Linked DNA regions of Canis lupus familiaris. The protein of the gene in region 1 interacts with the protein of each later gene in a biochemical or structural test. Links are inferred from orthologs where the notes say so. Each region holds a gene or a part of one and is shown in the gene's direction. Other genes may lie near its edges. The genes, in order: CDK9 and GTF2F1.

Region 1 (4,347 bases):
GGGATCGAATCCCACGTCAGGCTCCCGGTGCATGGAGCCTGCTTCTCCCTCTGCCTATGTCTCTGCCTCTCTCTCTCTCTCTCTGTGACTATCATAAATAAATAAAATCTTTAAAAAAAAAAAAAAAAAAAAGAATCAGACAGACCAGGTTCCAGTCACAGCGCTGTCACTCTGTGACCTTGGGCAAATGACCTCACCACTCTGAACCTCAATGCCCTCTTCTGTAAAATGGGCTAGTTAACCTGCCCATGGGGCGCCTGATTGAGGATTCAGCAGGATTCAGCAGGAATGCCCAGCGATTCCTGAACACACAGGAGTTCTGAGCAAATGCTAGCCATTTTTGTGATTACTGACCCGGGACTGACCCGCTCGGACGCAGCTGGGTGGGCATAGGGCTCCCGCGGGTCTCATCCCTTCCTCCCAGAAAATTGGGGGTCCAGGGCAGGAAGGCCCGGGCGTTGCTCGCTCGCCGTCTCCAGTGTCGCCGCGCCCCCTAGCGGCCGTCGGTTGCCATGTCAACGGCGGGCGGCTGGGGCCTGGGGAGGCGGCGGCGGGGGCCGTTCTCTCCTCCCAGGACCGGAGGCCGCTCCCTCGGCGCCTCCCGCCTTTCCCAGCGGAGGGGCACTCCGAGCCGGGGAGAGGGCTCTCCGCGGCAGCTAGCATGGGGGGGTAAACTGAGGCACGCGACAAAGCGCTCCGCAGCCAGGTGTCGAGCTCGGGGCCCCACCTCCGAAGGCGGAGGAGGGGCCGCGGGCGGTGACGCGCCGAGGGCGGCCGGCGGACAGCGGGCGGCGGCGGCGGCGGCGGCGGCGGCGGCGGCGGCGGCGGCGGCAGGTGCGGCCGCGGAGGGTGGGAGGGAGGAGGGAGGGGGGCGGGCGGAGGGGGAGGGGAGGGCGAGGCCAGGGCACCTCCCCCTTTATAACGCGCCCCCTCCCGGGCTCTCGGGCCACCTCCTCGTCGGCTCTTCCCATCTCGCCCCCTTGCCCGGCCGCCCCGGGCCCGGGCCCGGCCAGGGAGACCCCAGGCCGCGGCTCGGGGGCCACCCCCCCGCTCGCCGCCCCGCGCAGCCCGGCGGAGGCGGCGCCGTCGGAGGAGGAGGAGCAGGGCACTGCGGCTGGCCCCGGATCGGGCGCCAGAGCGGCAGCGGCTCCGGCAGCAGCGGCGGCCCGGGCCGATGCAGCGGGACGCACCGCCCCGAGCCCCAGCCCCGGCGCCCCGGCTCCCCGCGCCCCCGATCGGGGCAGCCGCCAACAGTGGCGGCGGCGGAGGCGGGGGCAGCGGCGGCGGCGGAGGCGCCTCTGCAGCTCCGGCTGCTCCTGGCCTCCCGGGAACTACAAGTCCCAGGGGGCCTGGCGGCGGGCGGCGGACGGAAGAGGCGGGGTCGGCGCCGCGAGGCCGGAAGTGGCCGTGGAGGCGGAAGTGGCGCGGCCGCGGAGGGGCCTGGAGCACGGCGGCGGGACCCGGAGCGGGAGCAGCGGCGGCGGCGGCGGCTGGGGGCGGCGGCGGCGGCGCGCTGGAGGCGGCCATGGCAAAGCAGTACGACTCGGTGGAGTGTCCCTTTTGTGATGAGGTGTCCAAATATGAGAAGCTCGCTAAGATCGGCCAAGGCACCTTCGGGTAAGGCTGCGCCCCCGGGGGACCAGGCGCTCTGGGCCTGCACCGCTCAAATCCGACGTCACGATGCCCAGGGCCGGGCCCGAGGTGGTCGGGAAGGCCATGAGCGCCAGACGTGTCCCCTGGTTTTGCTAGGCCGCGCTGCGGCCCGCCTGGGCCTGACCGAGCCGGCTGGCGGGGAGGAGCCTGAGGCCTGTGATGGGGGGCGGGGAGGGGTTACGGAGAGGAGCCAGTGGTGGGAGCGGGCTCTCCGAGAGACGCCTGAGTGAGGAGACTGAGGGGAGGAAGTAGAGGCTCGAAGCTCCGCAGATAGCGGGTGGCAAGGTAGGGCAGTGCCCTGGGTCCCCGGCCCAGCCCCGCCCGGGGAATCCCTTTTTTCTGCCCCCCTCCTCTGGTGGGGGAGGGGCGGGCCCTGCAGAAACGGCCTGATAAAACCTCTTGGGTCTCCCTCTCGGCCTGCAGGGAGGTATTTAAGGCAAAGCACCGTAAGACCGGCAAAAAGGTGGCTCTGAAGAAAGTGCTGATGGAGAACGAGAAGGAGGGGGTGAGTATGGGCCGGGTGGGCGGGCCTGCCAGCTCCCCTGGGCTCGGGGTTGGGTTTCCACCCTGCTTCTGCTAGGGCTCTCGTCTGGAGAACCTGTGTGTCTGTGTGTTGGGGGGGGGGGGGTAGTTAGGCAATTTCCGTATTCGGGGAATTTGGCTTCCAAATTGAATTTTTTAATTCAAATGTTTTAGAGCTTTTGATATCCCACTCTTAGGTAAATACGGTTGGGGCCAGGAGGGGGAGCTCATGCCTGCAGAGTGTGCCTTAGTTCCTGAAGTTAGGAAGCCTTTAAACACGGTTTCCTTAGCATTCATTTTGCATAAGGCGGAAAGAAATTCCACTTGGTGGTTTTAAGGGAGTGGCTGGTACTCAGTTGAAAAGGAGCAGTCCCCTCCCTTGCCTCATTGTAGCCCTAGTCCAGCTTCCCAGAGACCTGCTTAGCAAGGACATTTCCTTAAATAGCTGTTTGTTTCCACCTAGTAAGTTAAATACAGGTATAGAGCTAAAACTTAAATATTGAAGAAACTGTGGAACATTTATTTAGTGACGAGTAGTGAAGTGTGTAGGTATTAAGTCCCACTGTTTCAGTTCATTGTCTCAGAGCAACTCATTGAGGGGCACATACTATTTTTACACCCATTTTACAGCTAAGACATCTGAAATGATGTCAGAGCCCGGGACCTTACTCGTTTGCTGCACCTGTGCCCCTTGATCTGGACCACACGGTTGTTCATTGGTCTGTTCATTGGTCTATAGTTGACTCGCTCACCTCAGGCCCCCTCTTGCCTTTCTCCTACCCAGTTCCCCATTACGGCTTTGCGGGAAATCAAGATCCTCCAGCTTCTGAAACACGAGAATGTGGTCAACTTAATTGAGATCTGTCGAACCAAAGGTAGGTTCTTTGGCTCCTGCCCCCCTTTACAGATGGGGAAAATGAGGCTTACTGCCTAAGGCTTTGCAAAGTTGGAAGTGGACACACCTAAATTGCCTCTTCTTAACCCAGACAAACCGACTGTGACTGCTCTTGGGTCCTTCCATCGTAGCTGTTGCTCCTCGAGGGCCTGCCACAGCACCCAGCCCAGAGGAGGCACTCAGGAAATAGTTTTCCAGTGAAGGAAGGCACAGCCGAATATCCCAGTGTCCACGGGCTGGAGGGGTAGAAGCTGTGTGGGGAAATGAGTTGCACGTGGGGTTTTTTACTTTCTTTTTCTTACTCCTCCCCCATTCTTCCCTCCCAGCTTCCCCCTATAACCGCTGCAAAGGCAGTATATACCTAGTGTTTGACTTCTGCGAGCACGATCTTGCTGGGCTGCTGAGCAATGTCTTGGTCAAGTTCACACTGTCTGAGATCAAGAAGGTCATGCAGATGTTGCTCAACGGCCTCTACTATATCCACAGAAACAAGGTGGGGGTCAGCATGGGGTAAGAGAGACCCGGGCTGGGGTGGGCCTCGGCTCCCACCGCTGGGTGGGTGCGACTGAGGGTTCCCCTTGGAAACCTGATTGAGCCCTCTTGCGCTTCCTGCAGATCCTGCACAGGGACATGAAGGCAGCTAATGTGCTCATCACTCGCGATGGGGTTCTGAAGCTGGCCGACTTTGGGCTGGCCCGGGCCTTCAGCCTGGCCAAGAACAGCCAGCCCAATCGCTATACCAACCGTGTGGTGACGCTCTGGTACCGGCCTCCGGAGCTGTTGCTCGGTGAGGACTCCCGAGCGGGCGGAGTGGGGCAGGGGCTGGGCACTTACCCGGCCTCAGTCCCCCACTGCCAGGGCTTCTTGAGCCGCCGGCCCTGGGGCATTGCGTCTCAGGAGGCCCTCGGGCTCAAGGGGCCCTCCTGGTGCGCTCTTCTTCCCAGGGGAGCGGGACTACGGCCCCCCCATTGACCTGTGGGGTGCTGGGTGCATCATGGCCGAGATGTGGACCCGCAGCCCTATCATGCAGGGCAACACCGAGCAACACCAGCTTGCCCTCATCAGCCAGCTCTGTGGCTCCATCACCCCTGAGGTGCGTGGCCAGGCTGCCTGGGCCCCTGGTCCCCACAGGACGCAGAGATCCAGAAGTCCTCCTGGCAAGGGAGGAGTGGGGAGTGAAATAGCAGGAAAGTTCTGGAGAGGTGGCTGGTGGAGGGACAGGGGCTGCTCTTTAGAGTCGCATGGGCTATGCTTGAGTCTCACTTCCATCACAGTTC
Region 2 (4,330 bases), on another chromosome or scaffold:
CAGCCTAGTGTGTGTCCTCGGGTGAGTGACGCGGGACACGGGTCTCCTGGCATTACCCATTTTTGCCCTAGGGTGGCATCTGGGGGTGTGCATCCATGCCCAGTGGTATATCCACACAGGGCACGGGTTAGCGCTGCTACAGGGGCGGGTTTGGGGGGCTGCGAAGAGGATGCAGACTGCGAGCAGGCCATGCCCTCTGCACACAGCATCTCCTTGAAAACCTCAATGACTCGATTGTCCCGTTTGACAGCTGAGGAAACAGGCTCAGACTTGCGCCCCCTCTGGGCCATCCCACAACGCCCTCCTCCTCCTTCCCTCTGGTCCAGCCCCCCTGGCCTCTTCTGTCCCTTGAACTTGCCAAACTCATCCCTCTCCCGCTGCTCCCCCTGCACGCCAAGTCCCTGCTCCGCCGCCTTCAGGACACAGCCCACCCGCCCGCCCATCAGGCTTCCCCTCCCGACCTCCCCCCGCATCATCCCGTCCCAGGGCCACATTTCCTCCACTGCAGCAGCCACGGTCAGCTAGGATTTTGCCTGTTTCCTTGTTCTTGTCCGTCTCCCCAGCCACACTCTGTGCTCCGGGAGGGCAAGGACCAGTTCTGTCTTGCTGGTCCCCGGGTTTCTACCAGTTGCCACGGTCCCTGACGTGCGGTAGCGGGTGATGAGCAAACGAAGGTGCGTGGCTACCAGGCGTCTCTAAGGCAGCGCAGTAGTCGATAATGCAATTTCCGTGTCTTGCTTCCCTCCCGCTTGGCTTAGTGAATTCCCAGGCATCCCACAGGGCCCAACGTAAACTTTAAACCTCCCCTCTCCTGGGGGCCGCAGAGCCGGCTCCTCTCTCCCCGTGGCAGCCCTGCTCCCTCCTGCTCGCCGATCCCATTTTTCTGAGACTGTCTCCTTCCCTGTCTACACTGTCATCTCCTGGAGGCCGGACAGCTAGTGTGACATACTCGCCGTGGAGTGCCCAGAACCCCGCGCAGCAGGTGCCCAAGCGGATCAAAGCGCGGCTGATCCTCGAGCACGTGCAGCTCGGTGGGTGGGGGGCGGGGCGTGTGCACACCGGCCTGGGGTGTGGGGTACCTGCACCTCCCTCGTGCCCTTCACGGCCTCCTTCCTCCCCCCCGCCCCGTGAGCCAGCCGCCCCTGCGACGTTACCCTTCTCCTGGGGTCGCAGGGGCCTGCCCACCTCGGGCAGCTTGGACTTGCACAGACCCATCCCACCAGCGGCCCTGGGGTGGTCGCGCCCCATCCCCACCCGGGCCCTGACTCCTCCTCCTGGCTCGGCTCTACGTCACAAGGGCCCGATCACTTGGCGAGACGATGAGGTCTCCCCGGGGCAGAAGGAGGAAATGAACCCAAAGGGGCGCAGCTGGCGGCGCCCCAACAGCTCGGCGCGGACTAAGAGGCCCCGGTCGCTATGGTGACGCGGCCTCCTCCGACTCACTTCCGGAGTGCAGTGGCGCATGCGCGAGGCGCCCGAGAGCTCGCGAGGGAGGCTAGGTTCCTCCCTCCTCTCCCAGGACGCCCCGCGGCCCCCGGATGTGATGTCACGAGGAGGCGTGGCCACAGGCTGATTAAATCAGTCGCGCTTTATAGAGAGGCGCGACGCGGCTTCCGCCGCAGCCGGGGTGTCTTCCGCGTCGGGGTCGGTCTGGGCCGTCCGCTCCGCGGGACTCGGGGAGCTAGGTGACGCGGAGGAGGTTGCCGTCGCGCCGCGGCCCGAGTGTCACGTCCAGGTTAGGCGCAGGCGCAGACGCGGCCGGAGCGGTTCCCCGAGAAGACCGACTTCTGGGTAGCGGCCCCCTCGATCCGGGCCAGAGACCCGACGGCGCGCGGGCGGCTTCCCCGGGACTGAGGGGCGCGGGCCGCAGCGGACCCGAACCCCCGACCGTCACCATGGCGGCCCTCGTGAGTACACGGGGGAGCTCGGGGGTCGCGGCGCGCCGCCTCTGCAGCCCCCCACTCACCCACCGCCCCTCCTTCTCTGCCCGCAGGGCCCCAGCAGCCAGAACGTCACCGAGTATGTCGTCCGAGTTCCCAAGTAAGTCCCGCAGCCCTCTCCCCGCTTCCTGAGCTCCCAGGCCAGCCTGGCGCCGCCGGTGATGCCGCCTCCCGAGGAGCAGGGACCTGGGCCCAGGGCTGGGGTTGAGCGAGGTGCATCCCGTGTTTGCAACGGAATGAATGAATGAGCCCATTAGTGGGCGGTACGTCGGATGCAGCCCCCTGGCCTAGCCTTCTCTCGGCAGGAAGGCCTTTTCCCTGGCGTTGTGACTCCTGTCGGTCCTATAAAACCCAGCCCCACGATCTTCCTCCTCTGGGAAACATGCCCTGCCTGCCCTCCCCCGCCCCCGCCCCCAGGACAGAGGTCTCCATTATTCCCACACCTTGGGCACCCCCCGTCCCCCGACCTTTATGCCTCCCCTCCTGCTCTTCTTCAGCAGAGGGGTCGGGAGAGACCGGGAACCCCTGAGGGCTTCTGTGGGTCCCCAGCGTTGCTGAGCCAAGGGAGGGTTTGTTAAATGAACGGTGAACTGAGAGCAGCCCTCTTTTTGCCCACCCCAGAAACACAACGAAAAAATACAACATCATGGCCTTCAATGCTGCTGACAAAGTCAACTTTGCTACCTGGAATCAGGTAAGTCCCCGTTGGGAGTGAGCGTAAGAACCTGATCCTGCAATAGGCGCTTAGTTACAGTGGTAAAACTAAGGCTTGGCTTCGACCCCGCTCCCCGAGTGGGGATAAGACGATGTACTGAGGCCCAGGCTGAGCTGCTAGGGATCCCTGTGAGGAAGATTGGGCAGGCCCCACAGGAGGCCTCATGAAAGGATGGCATTTAGAAGTTGTGCCCCCTGACGGGCATTTCCAGCCTAGAGTCATCTGGGCAAGGCCGAGGGGGCTGCAGCCTGCAGATGGTTTTTGGAAGCTCTGTCCATGGGTGCTGCTACAGCAGAATACCGCAGACCGGGTGGCTTTTAAACAACACATATTTATTTCTCACGGTTCTGAAGGCTAGGAGGTCTGAGAGCAAGGCGCCAGCAGATGTTTGGTCTGGTGAAGGCCTGCCTCCTGGTTCGTAGATGTCTGTCTTTTTACTGTGTCCTCACGTGGCAGAGGGGGTGAGAGAGCTCTTAAGAGGGCACTCATCTCATTCACCAGGACTCCACCCTTCGGACCTAATCCCCTTCTCAAGGCCCCACCTCCCCATACCATCACACCGGGAGTTAGGTTTCATCATATGCATTTTGGGATAAAACACAAACATTCAGGGATCCCTGGGTGGCGCAGCGGTTTGGCGCCTGCCTTTGGCCCAGGGCGCGATCCTGGAGACCCGGGATCGAATCCCACATCGGGCTCCCGGTGCATGGAGCCTGCTTCTCCCTCTGCCTGTGTCTCTGCCTCTCTCTCTCTCACTGTGTGCCTATCATAAATAAATAAAAAAAAAATTTAAAAAAAAAAAAAAAAAAAAAAAAAAAAAAAAAAACACAAACATTCAGTCTATAGCAGAAACCTTTAAAGGGTTCTAAACAGGGGAGTTATAAACTGATCTGGGTGCTATAGGATCAGGGGCAGACAAAGGGTGTTGCAGGGTGGAGGCGTCGGCGGTGGTCCAGGTGAGTGACGACTGGGCATGGAGCAAACAGCGGTTGTGAGAAGTCAGTGGATTCTAGTGTGTTTTAAAGTGGAGCCAACATGATTTGTTAATGATTGGATGTTGACGGGTGACAGGGCCGGATGGACAGAGTATTGGGAGTTCAGTTCTCAACATCTTATATCAGACACCCAGGAGGAGACAGTAAATAAGCAGTGGAGCATCTGAGTTGGGAGACTGGGAGGGAGCATCTGGGCATTGGGGGCAGCATTTGAAGCCACAGAGACTGGACCAGCCCAGCACAGGAGTTGGCCCAGGTCTAAAGTTGGCAGCTTCAGGCAGCTCCTGCTGCTCATCCTGTTTTCAGCACCGGTCTGTCTTTTGACTGTTTTTAAACATCCCTTCATCTAGTTGAGCAAGTGAGGCTATTTGAAAGAGACGTTAGTCCCTCTGGATATTGGGCAGGTGGATGCTTGCTCAGGGCACCCTCTTCCCTTGTAGGCTGCCTGCCCCCCAGCATCTCCAGCCGTATGCACATTCATATACAAACTAACATGCTCCCCCAACCTCTGGTCTCACCTAAATTACCCAGAGAAGGTGGAGTGTTTCCAAATCCCTGATCACTCTGGGGGTGGGGGTGGGGTGGGGCATTCTTTATCACTGATCATCCAAGAGGGAGATACCCACACATCAGGGGGTCCCAGCTTTAAACACCCCTCACTAAGAGGAATAACTTGGTAA

Evidence for each region.
Region 2: the proteins of CDK9 (region 1) and GTF2F1 form a complex in vitro, tested with the Homo sapiens proteins (2 studies listed by BioGRID, with this or other methods). The link is inferred for Canis lupus familiaris from reciprocal best matches to the Homo sapiens genes CDK9 and GTF2F1.

The regions. Positions count from the first base shown.
Region 1 is NC_049230.1:55,704,367-55,708,713, reverse strand, and holds the start of CDK9 (cyclin-dependent kinase 9), read left to right. Parts: upstream 1-1,457; 5' UTR 1,458-1,525; coding exon 1,526-1,617; intron 1,618-2,076; coding exon 2,077-2,158; intron 2,159-2,959; coding exon 2,960-3,050; intron 3,051-3,396; coding exon 3,397-3,563; intron 3,564-3,685; coding exon 3,686-3,857; intron 3,858-4,014; coding exon 4,015-4,163; intron 4,164-4,347. UniProt on the Homo sapiens protein: Protein kinase involved in the regulation of transcription.
Region 2 is NC_049241.1:54,168,284-54,172,613, forward strand, and holds the start of GTF2F1 (general transcription factor IIF subunit 1), read left to right. Parts: upstream 1-1,432; 5' UTR 1,433-1,895; coding exon 1,896-1,907; intron 1,908-1,993; coding exon 1,994-2,040; intron 2,041-2,561; coding exon 2,562-2,634; intron 2,635-4,330. Other genes in the region: adenylate kinase isoenzyme 1-like, read right to left, coding at 1,155-1,248. UniProt on the Homo sapiens protein: TFIIF is a general transcription initiation factor that binds to RNA polymerase II and helps to recruit it to the initiation complex in collaboration with TFIIB. It promotes transcription elongation.